Linked DNA regions of Arabidopsis thaliana. The protein of the gene in region 2 interacts with the protein of the main gene of each other region in a pairwise test. Each region holds a gene or a part of one and is shown on either strand. Other genes may lie near its edges.

The links.
Region 1: the proteins of MYB49 (region 2) and HB-12 interact in a two-hybrid assay, tested with the Arabidopsis thaliana proteins (one large-scale study listed by BioGRID).
Region 3: the proteins of MYB49 (region 2) and AT5G48430 interact in a two-hybrid assay, tested with the Arabidopsis thaliana proteins (one large-scale study listed by BioGRID).
Region 4: the proteins of MYB49 (region 2) and UBC17 interact in a two-hybrid assay, tested with the Arabidopsis thaliana proteins (one large-scale study listed by BioGRID).

What each region holds. Positions count from the first base shown.
Region 1 is NC_003074.8:22,913,528-22,917,201, forward strand, and holds HB-12 (homeobox 12), read right to left. Parts: upstream 1,867-3,674; 5' UTR 1,713-1,866; coding exon 1,359-1,712; intron 1,173-1,358; coding exon 819-1,172; 3' UTR 627-818; downstream 1-626. UniProt on the Arabidopsis thaliana protein: Probable transcription activator that may act as growth regulators in response to water deficit.
Region 2 is NC_003076.8:22,015,529-22,019,732, forward strand, and holds MYB49 (myb domain protein 49), read right to left. Parts: upstream 2,534-4,204; 5' UTR 2,318-2,533; coding exon 2,185-2,317; intron 1,988-2,184; coding exon 1,858-1,987; intron 1,526-1,857; coding exon 829-1,525; 3' UTR 615-828; downstream 1-614.
Region 3 is NC_003076.8:19,627,017-19,631,032, forward strand, and holds AT5G48430 (Eukaryotic aspartyl protease family protein), read right to left. Parts: upstream 2,152-4,016; 5' UTR 2,097-2,151; coding exon 876-2,096; 3' UTR 618-875; downstream 1-617. Other genes in the region: AT5G48440 (FAD-dependent oxidoreductase family protein), read right to left, coding at 2,916-3,014, 3,094-3,182, 3,279-3,437, 3,556-3,727, 3,961-4,016.
Region 4 is NC_003075.7:17,200,273-17,203,565, reverse strand, and holds UBC17 (ubiquitin-conjugating enzyme 17), read right to left. Parts: upstream 1,645-3,293; 5' UTR 1,598-1,644; coding exon 1,568-1,597; intron 1,465-1,567; coding exon 1,361-1,464; intron 1,285-1,360; coding exon 1,182-1,284; intron 1,094-1,181; coding exon 1,030-1,093; intron 948-1,029; coding exon 859-947; intron 772-858; coding exon 676-771; 3' UTR 578-675; downstream 1-577. Other genes in the region: D2HGDH (FAD-linked oxidases family protein), read right to left, coding at 3,094-3,186, 3,271-3,293. UniProt on the Arabidopsis thaliana protein: Accepts the ubiquitin from the E1 complex and catalyzes its covalent attachment to other proteins.

The DNA.
Region 1 (3,674 bases), on a different chromosome or scaffold from region 2:
TTTAAAAAAGGAAACATATGAAAGAGACGTTGAAAACTTCAATTCCCAAAATACCCCCATATTATACAGAACAGAACCATAAGAGAAACATTGGTTTGCTTTGATTTCTCAAGGAAGAAGGGATGATCCAGGGGCTACCGTTGCTACAAGATTAAGGACACTATAAAGACTTGACTTAGAGCCATTCTTTTACATTCTGTTGAGAGTCTGGTTACAAAGCACATGTCCCACATGACATCAATCATAGGAAGATTATCATGACTCGATTGTTCCTTATAAACTGGAAAGACAAACACCAAAAGGAACTAGTTCTGCATCTACAAGAAGTTGTTCCATATCTGCCAATCCAGCTACAAATATCTCATAGGAAGGGAGTGACAGAGTAACCTGAGCTGATGAACCGGAATGTGATCAAAACTGATATTTGGTGATAAAATTCATAGACAATTCATCTCGAGGATATTGAAAGCATTATAGCAGAGCACCAATATAGAGATAAATGCACTTAGTTTCAAATTTAGGTCAATTTTTAGTCCGTTTCGAGATCATTATGGACGAAGACTCTTGTACTTGTGATCATTACGCTTGGTCCAACACTCTTAGAGCCAACTTGCAATCACAAATTTAACCTTGGTGACTTCAAAACTTTTCTAGTCTCATTATAAGCTACTAATTAGCTACAAAGAGTATTGAACATAGTAGATACATAGATCGAAACAAGATTTAAACTAAACTAAATTTATTTTTCTTAACACATAATTTACAAACTATTCACACTCTTTCTCTTCGCTTATGTTCTGTTTTTTTCTTATATGCTTTTATGACCAAAACTCCCACCAGTTAGGGTAATTGCTGCTAGATTGGTCTAAGAGAGAATCAGAATTGAAACCTCCCCAATTCTCAGAAGATGTCAAGCAACTATCATCAGCTTTCTCCACAATGTTCATCAGCTCATGATCAGTCTCTTCCTCGAACCCAAAATACTCTGTTTTAATGTTGTTGTTGTAATCACCATCATTACATAGAACACTCCCTTGGTCTAACCTCCCTTCTGGCTCACTCTTTCCATTATGCGACTCTGTGCTGCTGCTTAGAGCCAGTCCTTGATCACCACAACACTCATGATGCTTTTCTTCTTTAGGCCTTTGCATCTCTTCGTTTAGTCTCTGCAGCTGCAAATAGAGATTGATTAATATCAAATTAGGCAAAATGATCGAGAATTTACATCCCCCAAAAACCAATAAATGCCAAGACTGTATTTGCTATTTTATACTTTATAAAAAAAAAAGATCATTATCAATTATTGTTTCTATCACTGTTCAATTAAAGATAAAGATATCGATAGAATCATTATGTACCTCAGAGACCAGAGATTGCTTTTCTTTCTTCATGATTTCAAATTGTGAAGCCAAATTGTTGTAATTGGCTCTAAGAGTGTTATACTCTTTCTCAAGTTGCTTAGTTTTCCATCGAGCCCTCTTGTTTTGAAACCATATAGCCACTTGTCTTGGTTGCAGCCCTAGCTCTCTAGCTACCTGAACCTTCTTCCTCGGCTCAAGCCTCGTCTCAGACTCAAATATAAGCTCAAGTGACTTGATCTGTTCCTCGCTAAACCTCTTTTGGTTATTGCTCTTCTTCATCTTCTTCTTATTCATGGTCATGCCACTACTAATCTCGCTGAAACAGCAGTTGAAAAAATCTCCTTCTTCCATGGTTTTCACCAGATCTTGTAAGTTTCTTGATTTTGATTAAGAGAGAAGGTTTTGGAATTATTTGTTTCTTTTTTTTCTTTCTTTCTGGAATCTCTGAGTTGCTGATATTGGCCGCTTATATATAATGTGGGAGTTACTATGTGTGCTTGTGTAGGGCCTCGGATTTCTATTATTTTTTATATTTGGAAATTTCATTATTCAACCAAGACAAAATAAACTCATTGAATAAAAAGACCTGCAAATATTGTGGAACCACGGGCTAAAAATATACGTCCAAAATTTGTGGCTCGACACGAATTGGCTCATGTCTCTTTCAGTTTAAGTCGTATTTCATTTAGATGTGAACTAATCATCTAACTACTGATAATATTTTCATACTTTTTTTCCTTTATAATATAAGTATTATCAGCTTTTATATGTTTCATGGAAGTGATCAAGTGAATGATAACGTGGGTTGACAATCAAACGGGCGAACTGGCTTTGGTTACATCAATTAATCACCATACATATTTTACTTTTTAACAGTTTGGCCGTTCCTAAGAAAAATGAAGCAGTTTATAATGAAACAAAAAAAAAAACTCGATTATTTTGCTTTTCTTGCATATAAAAGGCATTTTTGAAAATAGAATTTAGCAGCAGCCTAGATGATCGTTGTACTATGTTTTAACATGCAACAACGTATATCATCATTTAACATGTGACTGCCAAGGCCTTGCGATACTTTTATTAGTCAAGATAATATTGATAGATAATCATTACGAAAGAGAGAGAAAGACGGATCGTATTAAGCAATAATTTTATTCGATTGTGTAACGAGATTCCACGTTCACATATCAGGATGTTTGACGGGTGTTAATTAGTGTGTTATAATTAAGATTAAAATAATCTCCATTTTCATTTGAGATTTCATTTGTCGTTACTCGCACGCCATACTTTAGAGGTCGGTTACGTGAAACACGTTTTAACGAGACTTTTCATTAGTGTATTATATACTATGTTCTAAAATAAACCTACTCTTGATTTATCTCGCTAAATTCCAAAAGAAGATTAATCATGGTTAAAATTGTGGCCGCATGTGGTAAGCTGGCAAATAATTTTGCAACTCTTCAATTCATTGCCCAAGAAAAATAAAAAATAAAAAATAAATTAAGATATATTTGCATATCACATACCGTACTATAGTTTACGCGATGTTTTACGCGTTTAATTTCGTTACACGGAAACAATAAGATGATCACGAGTAAGGATTATAGATTTATTGACTTCCATGCAAATGTTTAAAGTTTTAAACTCAATTATGAGATTTCTTGACTTTCTTGTAACTAAACAAGTAATCTGACCTAATTACTATCCTCTTGGTTTCCTTTTCAACATGCCGTTTTAGTTTTCTTCTAAAAAGTATACACAATCCAGAAAAGAAATATAAACCAGTGGTGTTCCTATTATTTATTTGACCTTTTTCCATTTTTCTAAAACCAATAGTACTAAATATAATATGAAATCTAAAAAGATTATTATACCTCTATTAATAAGCTAACTATTATGGATAGAAGTATCTTGTCTAAAATATATGCATTAAACATACAAAATAACAGTTTACATAAACAGAAATAAATTAAAATTCTACAACAATTACTTATTAGAAAACGAAGTCAGTGTAGTATGTTTTTTTTTAGACACGAAGTTAATATGTTTATTCTTACAAAATTACACAAGTTCCGTTCCGTCTTAGGCTCTGAAACACTAATTATCTTAACCATGGGATTTTGAAAGTTTGTAATTTTAAGCAACAATATTAATGATAAACGCAACTTATATAATTAATGTTCTAATGATTAGTTTAAGGTTACGTTCACCTTGCTTCTCGGAAATCTCTTTTGACTTATTAAATACAAACAACAAATTAAATTCGGCCATTTGTGAACTATGGCGGCTTCATCGATCCAACGTCACTTTAGCCTT
Region 2 (4,204 bases):
GTAGCTATTTTTGATATATCTCATCTCACTGTATGAACAGTTTTATAACTTGGGTTTGGTGTTTCGAACAACGTTGACTATATATTTTCTATTTTAATCTTTCATACACATTTTCTCATAGTGGATAACTATTTAAATCTTCCTTTTAGGTGTATTACTATTTATTTGTGCTGATTTCAAACCAATCATAAGGGAAAACAAGTCGATTATTTCTTTTTTCTTGTATTATGAAATTGAAAACTCCCCTTTATGAGTCTATGACCAATTAAATATAATCACTATTGTCTCCTGCTCCACCAAATGTGTTCTTAATCATCAAAATCAAGATGGTGCAAATAGAATAATAAAACTATAACACCAGAAAATTTTCGTACAAGTTGAAGACCTTTTAGGTATAACGAATGGAAAGTTCTTCGAATTGGAAAATAAGAACAATTAGTGGAAGAAAATGCACAAGAAATCCAAGATTAAGAATACACTTAACTCTTAAAATACTAAGTATGTACGTAACACACTTATCAACCATCTTATGACCTTTTGAGAGTCGACTAATGTAAAGTTCTTCGAAGCAGAAAAAACAATTAGTAGAAGAACAAAGTCAAGATAAAGGTACACTAGCTGTTATCCTCTTAGGTTTTATAACTTTTTTAAGTGTAAACAAATAGAAACCTTTTCGGATCAAAAAAAGTAGAACAAAAAAAAAAAAAAGAGTCAACATAATAATAGACTAAGCTCTTATATTACAAAGTATGTAACACAATTACAAACCCCCATTAAAAAAAAGTAAAAATAAAACAAATAAGATCAAGAAGCAAAATAAATAAGACATTATGATAGATTCAAAGCATTATTATTATGATCATGATGATGATGAAACATCAACATGTCGCTACCAAAACTCTCTCTATCATCTTCGCTTCCACCATTGACATAAAAAGTCGAAGACGAATTCAACGGTGTCGAGCTGCTCGATGAAGTTCCCGCTAGCATTGATGAACTGAAATTCCATCCGGCCTTAAAATTCTCACCATCATTAATGTGGTCGGATACAAATGCGGCTGATGAGTAGTTTCCGGCTTGAGGGACTTTGTTATTAGATGGATCACCTGTACCGGTATAACTGTGATAATCTCCCAAGTATTCTCCATTGTTTTGCCATTGAACGGGTGGTGTTGAGTTGAGCAAACCGGTGAAAGTGGTTTGGTCAGTGTTTAGGTCGTTTTGAAGCTGTTGGTTTGGTTGGTATGATTCGGTCTGAACGTTGTTGAGAGAGGCAGTGAGATGATTCAAGATATCAGGATTAATATTTGAAGTAGTGAGATCAAATGGAGTATTCATCGGTTGTGACATAGATTTAAACAATGATGAGGTAAGAAACGAAGAGAGCTGGAGAAGATTAATGCGGGGACAATGAGTCACCGGATCAATCCCCATTCGTAAGAGTTTCTTTTTAATATGTGTGTTCCAATAGTTTTTGATTTCATTATCTGTTCTTCCTGGTAAGTGAATAGCAATTGCGGACCATCTATAGAAGAAAAAATATCGTGTTATAGATTTTAAGTTAAAATCAAAAAGAGAAGTATAAGTTTTAACTTGTTAAGATATTAGCTGCAGCGAGTTGAAGATTGCATGCTTAGCTTTAGACATTTGACCTTGGTATAGTGCTTAACTATGTTCTTGTCTTTTAGTTGAATAAAATAAAATATGCAAGTAATATTATAACAAAAATGTAAAGACATGGAAGTCCAATGAAGTAGGTGTAGTAGTGGAAAACTAGGTCATTTTTTACTTAATTTAATCATACATGTAAACAATTATACACTAAATGAAGAAATGAAAAATTGCAGATAGACTAACTTGTTTCCAAGAAGACGATGAAGTTGAATGATGGTTTCTTCCTCTTGAAGAGAGAACTCTCCTCTCTTGATATCGGGTCTTAGATAATTCGTCCATCGCAATCTACAACTCTTCCCGCATCTTTTTAACCCTTTTAAGATTCACACCAAGAAAAACGAATAAGAACCATGATTGTTTTAATTTTAATTCTAACGTTGACATGATCTAGCATGATAATCATTATTAGTAAATTTTAAACATAAACGTAAAACAAAACGCAGGAAAACATATTGTAGCTGATAGGATTTAGCTATTTGTATATATACATGCGTTAGGGTAGGAATTTACCGGCGTTCTTGGGAAGGGTACGCCATTTGCCGGGACCGTGCGTTTGAATATAGCCTACGAGCTTCTCGTCTTCCTCCGGAGTCCATGGCCCTTTCTTCACTTCACTTTCCTCCGAGCTTGAAGATTTTCCCATCTTTTTCAAATGTTATATGTGAGAGAACTAGAGAGAGAAGCTAATAAGCTTTGAGAACTTGATTACAGAGAAAATTTGGTTTCTTCATGAATTATGATTTATGTATATACAAATATATATATGGTACATGCAAAGTCAAGTCAAGGAGATTTGGTACCGCCCTTCCATCATCTATCTAAATACGTGTCTTTTCTTGATGAAATACGGAGACAAAATGAAGTAGAAAAAAACTGCTTATTATGTTGACAAAACAAAAGAGTAATTTTTACTCTCTATCTTTAAAGTCCTTACTAACAAACAAAAAGCTCTGACCAAAGAAAAAAAGTAATAAACAAAAAGCATGAGACTAAACCATCTCTATTAACCCTAAAAATAATTAATATTGATGGAGTGAGAACACATGGCAGAATATGGGTGGTGTATGAGGACGTGTGATAGATATGTGAAGAAGGTTCCATTTGTTTTGGTCTCTTTGTCTCAAATCATCAAACAGTTTTCAAGATAGCTATGTTGCGTGTATGTTTAATGTTTACTCATCTGTCATCACTATAGCAATATCATATACATAAATAGACAGATTCAAAATAAGAATTTTATTGAATAAGGTGTGGTTACAGTGATTATACTGAATAAATATGCTTATTTAGCCTTCTAAGTTTTGTATACAAATAATTTCTCTTCTAAGGAGAAAATAAAAAGGAAATATGTAAAGAATGATTACGATAGTGTAAAAAAGTAAAAACAATAAAAATCCAAACGGATCTCCAGTGTGCTTCATCGGTTGGAAATAGATATATATCATCGTGTCATCAAATTTCAGTAGCAAAGCTAGATTGTCCTGCTTGAATTAAGACATCCGATCGAAGTGACTCAGTTTGAGTAACGTCCTGCATCGCACCAGAGTTTCTGTTTACTTCAATAACAATTACATAACGACAAGTTTGAATAACTGATAATCTAAGACATGTATTTTGTTTTTACTAAGTTAGGTAAATTAACGACAAAGCGTTGTTGCAGTGCAACATACGTAAAGAACAAGGCATGTTAACGGTCAAAATACATGTGTGATTAATGAAACAATACTATATAATATACATGTGTCATTGAATTGCAGAGACTTTGGTCTCAGTCCGAAACATGGTTGATTTGACAAGTCAGGGATTTGAAATTTTTTGATTTGATATTTGTAAGAAATTATTACTATTTTAGTTAAATTTGGTTAGTATAAGTTTTAGATTATTTGGAAAACAAGTTATCGGCCGGTTTAAGAGTGATTATATAGAAAGGTTTGGTATTAGAGAAGAATGATAAAGTGACTTTTTAAATTAGGAGAATGACCAATTTATCATTGTTTAGTGCATAGGCGTATTTGACAAGTAACCCCTTGCTCTTGTTACATGTTAAATATTATTGTGTCATATAAAGAGGTAAAATTAATTCTACACTTTATGCGGTATAGCCGTATAAAACATGTTAGGTTGATAATAAACAAGTTATCATAACGTTTTCAACAAGTGCCAAAAATATAAACTTACACTAACACTAAACCGTATATATCGTTTTTTTTAATATAATATTATTTCTATAACATCGATATATCTAGTAAATAGTTATTTTGCGTCCATATAATTCATATTTTTCGTTATATAACAATGAAATGAGTGTTTTTCCACGGTATAGAATATTTTACATGTAAACTTTAAATCATATCATTGTCTCACAGGGAATTGATTCATGAAGGTAAATTTTGTGATGCATGTTTTAAAAATAAAAGACTGCTTTATCAAAAAAAAAAGTAGACCCTTTAACAAAGAAAAAAAGATCCTGCCAAAAATGAATAATGATAATTAGTTATTAAGACGACAAGAAAATTCAGATAATGTGGTC
Region 3 (4,016 bases), 2.4 Mb from region 2:
AGAAAGCAAAACCTTCTCATGTAGTGTTTGTTCTTCATATGCTTTGGATTGGAGAATCGGATTTATGGGTTTAACACAAGAAAATCAAATAATTCCGACTTTAGTTTACAACTTTTTTGTATTATTACACTGACATTGACATATATCGTTGTACTCAATTAGAAACTTAAAAAGTGCAAAAATGAACGATCCTTGGATTGAACATAATTTGGGATTTTTCACCACTGAAAAAAATCCATTTATAAGCCATTTAAGTTTTAAGATTAGATACGTAGCACTTTGAATGAGAGTCTTATATATTAAGATGCTTGATTTTTAATTAGGTAATTTTATCTGGTGGTTTTTCGAAAATATCTTGCCATACCAACATACTGTAATTAGAGATGTACTAGAGTTAGCTCATCCCACTTGTAGTTTTGTGAAAAAGGAGCTAACCAAGTAGCTGAGGTATTTGCTAAATCTGCAAGAAGTCACTTCACTAACTACATATCGTTTAGTAGTCATAGTAGTTTAAACTTATATAACCCCTTTAATATAATGACATGGTTTGACGAAAAATAACCAAATAAATCACTAATAGTAACAAAGGAAGTAAGAAAAAAATCATCAGCAATAATTGACATGGTTTATCAAACTTATGTAACATCTTTAATATTATATAAAGTGAAATGACTTGTCGACGCAACTTATATATTAAGGTTCATTAATAATAAGATAAAACTTTAGTGTTTTATTACATTCTTTGACATTCGTCATTGACTAAATTTTTTAAAACCACACTTGACATGAATGTTACATAACAAATGAAGCCAGAGTACTGACAAATAAATATTCAATCACAAGATAATGTCAACTATCAAGTTGTTTTGACATTCTCATGGCCGTGTTTGAAAGTCGCCGCATGAAGCGCTGACCAAACCCAAAGAAGAACTAAATCCAAAAGCAGATCTTCCAACGTCAAACTCCACCAAAGTATTTTCCATCTGATGTATTCCTATCATCACCGCCTGCGCCGCCGCATCTCCTCCGTTGACAAAAGCCAAGCAAGCCACGTCATCGCTGACCTTCTTCATCGCGTTTGCGGGAGACAATTTCCAAATCACACCATTAGCTAGCTCTAGATCGATCCTAGGCACTTGGAAATTTGTCGTCGTCGAAAGACAAAACTCAAAGGGTGTCGTGCTACTGACACGTGGAATACCCGATGTGGCTTGTGAGAATGCTTCGATAAAGACTCTGTATATGTCGCTTCGTAACATAGTGAAAGGGAATATGGTGCTTAGAGTAACGCCTCCATCACCGTTGCGGTCAAAAGCAAAAGCGTTTGGGGCAAACAAGATCCTATTCCCGTTAACGGAAATACCCTTGAGTCCCAAGAAATAGTTGTTGAGTTTTCTAGGGTTTGTAATCAATCGAGTGTAAGAGAGCATAGATCTTGCATCAATGTTTCTGAGCTTGTACGGACCTCCACCAAAGTAAATAGCACCTTTTTTCAAAGGGTTTTCATCAGAAGGAAGACACAACGCAAACTTCTTCTCGAGTCCGAGTCTAGGTCGAGTCAGCTGGTTCCAAGTGGCGAGAGCCGTAGGTGCAAGCCCCGCAAGGCCGAAAACACCGGGAGGGAAGTCTACAAGGAACGGTTGGGGGATGCATAGGTAATAAACGTTGTTGATCGTGACCGAAGGAGATATAGGTTTTAGAGAAGAGATGGATAAATCTCCATAGGTGAATTGGTCAGAGTTACATATACGTTGGAATGGCTCAAAAGCGGTTGCTTGGCAAGCACATACTCCATTGATGATTTTGTTGCTGGGAAGAGAGCATTGGTGAGGAGTGAATCTACGAGTTAGAGCACATACGGGGGAGCCACAAGGGACGATGGGACGAGGGAGACCATCGTTGCATTTACGGACAAGATAGGGACCGCCGATGTGAATGAAAAACTCTTGGTTTGTGTTGAGTGTGAAGGTGAAGATAGGCAAGATTGTGTTCTTAGAGACGGTTGATACTAAGGCTTTAGGTGGATAGTAATTAGCCGAGACGTAACTATAAGTAAAAAACAAAATGAGACAGAGGACAAGAAGACTCTTTTCCATCTTTTGCGTGTTTGTGTTTAAGATTGTTGGAAAGTTTTAAGATATGGATATAATTACTAGGAGAATTAAGAACGTATATATAGCTAATTAGAGTTGACATTTTAACATATAGACATCACACACGTTAATATGTACGAACTTGTACACACAATAATACGGTCCGACCAGAACAACTAGATATATATATTTTAAAAGATTACTATATGTATATCAAGTTGACATAGGAGGGCCAACCATTTAGGCAAAGCCAGTCCTATATGTATGTCAAGTTGATAGATAAATTTAAAAACTACTGATGGATGTAGATGGTCATAGACTCAAAAGACTTATACGTTAATAAGAAAAAGAAAAAACTTCAACTAGCATCACTACTTGTGGTTTTATATGTTTGTTGACAATTAATATTATATATATAGATATATTGAAATAAATAAATAGCAATAGTTTGAATATGGAATGTGATAATCACTGATTTGAAAGTTTTCTAGGATATGATAACCATGTGCGCATTTTTGGTCAAATTCGAATGACATATCTTTGCTAATATGCGTATAAATGGTTAAATTATTGTTTGAGAATATTTTGAATGGAACATATTTGTAATCAACCGTATTAAAAATAGATCATGCATGTCGAAAGCTAGAGAAAAAGTCTGGTTTAAAGACGTAGAATTAGAATTGGTCTTAGTATACTAAAACCGGACTAAACCAACACTAGATTTATGTAGCTCATAGACATTTCCTTTAAGACCCCGTTTATAGCAACCACAATGCTTAAGAGGATTCACTCTCTTAACTAAACCAAACTGCTTCTATTTCATCAGCAACAACGACGCCCTTTAACCCCAAACGTTGAAGTATCCACTTGTGATGGTTTTCCTAGTACCATGTCCGTTACCATTTCCGCTGTTGCTAGAGCCTAAACGATTTCAAGAAACCGTGAATCATGATTGGGTTCTTGAGAAAGGTGTTAGAGGATTAGAATGAATGTTACTTACCATGGAAAGTCCACCTCCTTCATGCCCAGCTGCTAAGTACATGTTTTGTAATCCGGGCACGGATCCTATCACTGGCTTCCCGTCAGGCACTATGATCAGTTAAAAGAAAAGTTCAGGTTTTGTGAACATTCCAAAGGCCGGCTTCAAGTACTTTTGGTTTGGAGCATTAGATGCAAGAAGCTTACTGTAAGGGCGCAACCCGACTCTCACTTTCCTGTTACGGATGAAATCTTCGAGGGAAATATCACGTAACTTAGGAAAGAATTCTGCAGCACGCTCCCATATGCAACGGATGATAAACTCATCAGCTTCAGTGTCGAACCCGACAAACTCACGGCTGCTCCCTGAAATTAGAGATGGCTAAATGAAGATAAGAGATATATTGTGTGTGACTGATAAATATGTTAAGCACACATAATAAGAAGAACATGGATTTTAGTGGACATAGATTGATGAAATTACCAAGAACAAGGTTTCCTGATGTGTCCATTGTGGCTGTCATGGAAATAGATAGCATCCGTTCATCGACATCCAATCCTGAAACTGAAGCACTTTGATGATTCGAGTAACCAGCCTCCATTATCCCATGATTTAAGTGGAATGAATCAAAGTTCTCTACCACAAGCAGATGCCCCTGCAAGGCAAAGTTGGATACTGCAATTTAAAAAAATACCAAAGCAGTCCATTTCAAGAAGCTTGCAAAGGATCTTCACGACAAATAAAGATATACTTGCTGCTCTTAAACAATAATATCCTCAAGAACTTGGCTTGCCAGAATTTTGACACCTCGTGATGACAAAGATACACTTCAATATAGAGATTTAAAACGAGGGAATATAAATTGGGCAATCAGACGAGACTTCAAACCTTTCTTGGCTTCACCGGAACGTCCAGCGGAATGTTGCAGTCTTTAAGCAATTCAT
Region 4 (3,293 bases), on a different chromosome or scaffold from region 2:
ACATTAATTTGATTCTGGAATTGCATAAAGTTGCTTGCTTTGTTTTTGTAAGGGGAGTAAAGTTCTGAGCTTGACGTTGAGTTTCATGAAGGGCCTTTGAAGTTTCTTGTCGAAATGTACAGAGCAAGAGCAATTAGAATAGCTTTTGTAGTCTATTGGGAAACATGTGAAATTGCTTGGTCTATAAACACTTTTAGTAGGTATTCTAGCATCTGTATGATTCGTGTTTGCTTCATATGCTTAAGCTTTAGGTTTTGACATTGCAGGTGTTATTAAAATGGAGCATGAGCAAGAACAAATGAAGCTTCTGCTGAGTAGTCCTTCCTAGTGTTTATTACAAATGTAAGATGTGATGGAAAGTCATCAGCAGCTCTTTTCTTTAGAGATAGAAACAGATTTTTGTCTTCTATCAAATATACACGAAGGCTTGTTAGAAGCAAAGTTCTCTCTTCTTTGGATCAATCATTCTCTCAGTTCTTGGTTTGTACTAACAGTTGATGATTTCTTTCATATAATAATGAATCATGTTATTTCCAAATTTTCAAGTTTTATGCTCAAGCTTTTCGTATGGTTAAACTGTAGAAAGAAGCTGTTCTTGTTTTAAAGATAGCAACAGATCAAGAACTCGACCTGAGATCTTACAATTCGTTTGTAATCACAATATTATAGGAGATGTTATACTTTATCGTCATGGAAACGCCACCTAGTTTCTTTGGGAGATCTTCCATGTTTGCAGTTTTTCAAGTAATGGTCATTGTCTTTCGGCTTTTGCTGTAAGGAGAGAACAATAAACATCATAAGAAGAAGATTATTCTGTGAAAGCCTTTGAAATATGAGAAGAAGATAAAACACACAAACCTTCACGGATGAGCTGGAGAGCATTGAGAGAATGCTGAGACAGATGGAACTTAGTCTCATCGCCGGTGACCACGAATCATACAAGACATCTGCATAATCAAAAGAACACATAGAAGGGTCTTGTCATTGGACTTTGAAACAGAGTGAGTCATTGTGTTTGTATGTACTTACCTAAACAAATGTGACCGTTGCTGTAAATATGAGGATGAAGTGGAGCTGGATGCTGAAAGATAACCTGTTTTATATGTGGAACCATCGGGTTATGAGATTGATGCGATGATTAAGTATCGTTAAGTATTAACAAAAGGAGTTAGAGGACGAACCTGTGGAGCTTCCATAGGATAATGCTCAGGGAACTCAACTTGAAGTTGGTAAGTTTCATTGGCGTAAAGAGTTCCTGGAACTCCATGCACTTCAATGATCCATCTGTTTACACCAACAATTCAACATTACATCACCGATTATCAATATTCGAAGGAAAGACAATAAAATGATTATGTACCGTTGGAGATTATCAGAGACTCTGTGCTTGAAACCAGAAGGAGGATTGGTTTGCCACTCCATGAACTCTTTCTGCAACCGGTTCGTGGCGATTTTGGTCAGACCCTAACATAGTAAGAACAAGAGAGAGATGATCAAACCAAAGACAACAATGGAATTATAACCAAAAAGGTACTGTTATATTTAGTTAAAGAAACAATTAACCAACCTTGCGAGTTGATTCAGAAGAACTCGTCATTTGTGTTTATTACAGTGAGTGTGAGAGAGAGAGATTGTGTGTGTTTTGTCTCCTTAGCCATATCCAGTGAGCTTTTTATAGTGTCTTATCATCTTTGCAATGTGTCTAAAGCGTTTGGGTCTATGTCCAGTCATCAATCCGACGTCGTTTTTATTGTGTCGGCTCTCTTTAATCCGGGACTTTCCACTTGTGTTGGAGAAGCGAATCTTACACGCTTTTGCTACTCTCGCGATCATGATCAAACCAGTTAGGAATATTATCATAAAACATTCCAATATCTATTTCGGAAAACCAAATTTCTTAAATTAAAAATCTCATACCATTATGAATATCTGAGTTATGTAAATTTTAGGATAACCAAACTGATGCATGCATATTATTGATATTAACCAAAAATAAGAATTGATACATGCATCAGGTAAAAGTTGGCTTGTAACATTATTTTAATTTATTTCCGGTTTATGGATCCATCATTCAACGATGCCTTGGATTTTTAGCGATGATATATTGCTTTCATTGTCTTATTGCCCTTGTCCTTCTGATTATTTTGAATGGATCGATGGTTACAAAAGTTGTAAGCAACTTGATTATATATCAAAACTGACTAGTCATAATTACAATTATGATGCATGATGTTGTTGTATGCATTGGCTTCACCTTAAACCAAAACTTGTACACATTTGTTCCATGGAAACTATGGTCTATGAACTATGGTAATACGGATCTTATATTCCTATCTAGTTAGGTCCAACTTAGGTCTCAGAAGAATATATACTTGGTAGAACTTAGAACAAATATGTTAAAATCTATAGCTTATCTCTTAAATTAGAGAAGTTAGTTAGACTTATACAAATCAATCGGACCAGATATTATTCCGGTTTATCTGACCGATCTGGTTTCTCCTAGTAAGACATTAAAGAAAGGTAATACATGAAGTAAAAACAGAACTATGGGGAAAAATAAAAATAAAGTCTTTTTGTGAACAAAATAAGAAAATCCATTACAACAGAAATTCCAAGAATAGAAAGATATTATGTGAAGATTCTTGAAAATACTATTATTATAGATTATCTTTTCGAGTTTTGGTCTACATACACTGCAAATTTTAACTTTAAATACACGTAAGATCAATAGGTTTAGATTCTTTCTTATCCTTTACTAAAAAGATATTAAAACAAGGTAACAACAACAACAACAACAAAGAAGAAGAAGCGAAGCATATACACTTTTGAGTTTAAAGACTTTTTAATCAGCACTTGTATTTTTGTTCCTTTGCATCAATCATATCGCTCAAACTTGGCTGCTCATGTTCCAAATTCCTGTTTGAAGAATCATCTCATCACCACCCTTGCATTCGCCGAAAAAAGAATGTCAATGATTCCAAAGTAAAAGATGATGATTCTTCACTTTTGACGTTGGAAGAGCATTCATAGATAGAAAGATAGATGCTTTCAATAATTTCGGTGCGTAATCATAAAGCATAATAATCTTTTACCTTAGTTGGAGAAGAGAGAGTGAGGAAGAACTTTGTAAGGGTTGAGAATTCCCTTTGGGTCCAGCAACTTTTTAATGGAAGCCATTAATGCAACCTGCATAATATTATATTCCGGTAAGAATAGAGTGACACGATAGTTCTATACATAGTTTCCATACGTTGTTTGTTGTTAACTTACAGTTTCGGGTGATTTGCTGTAGA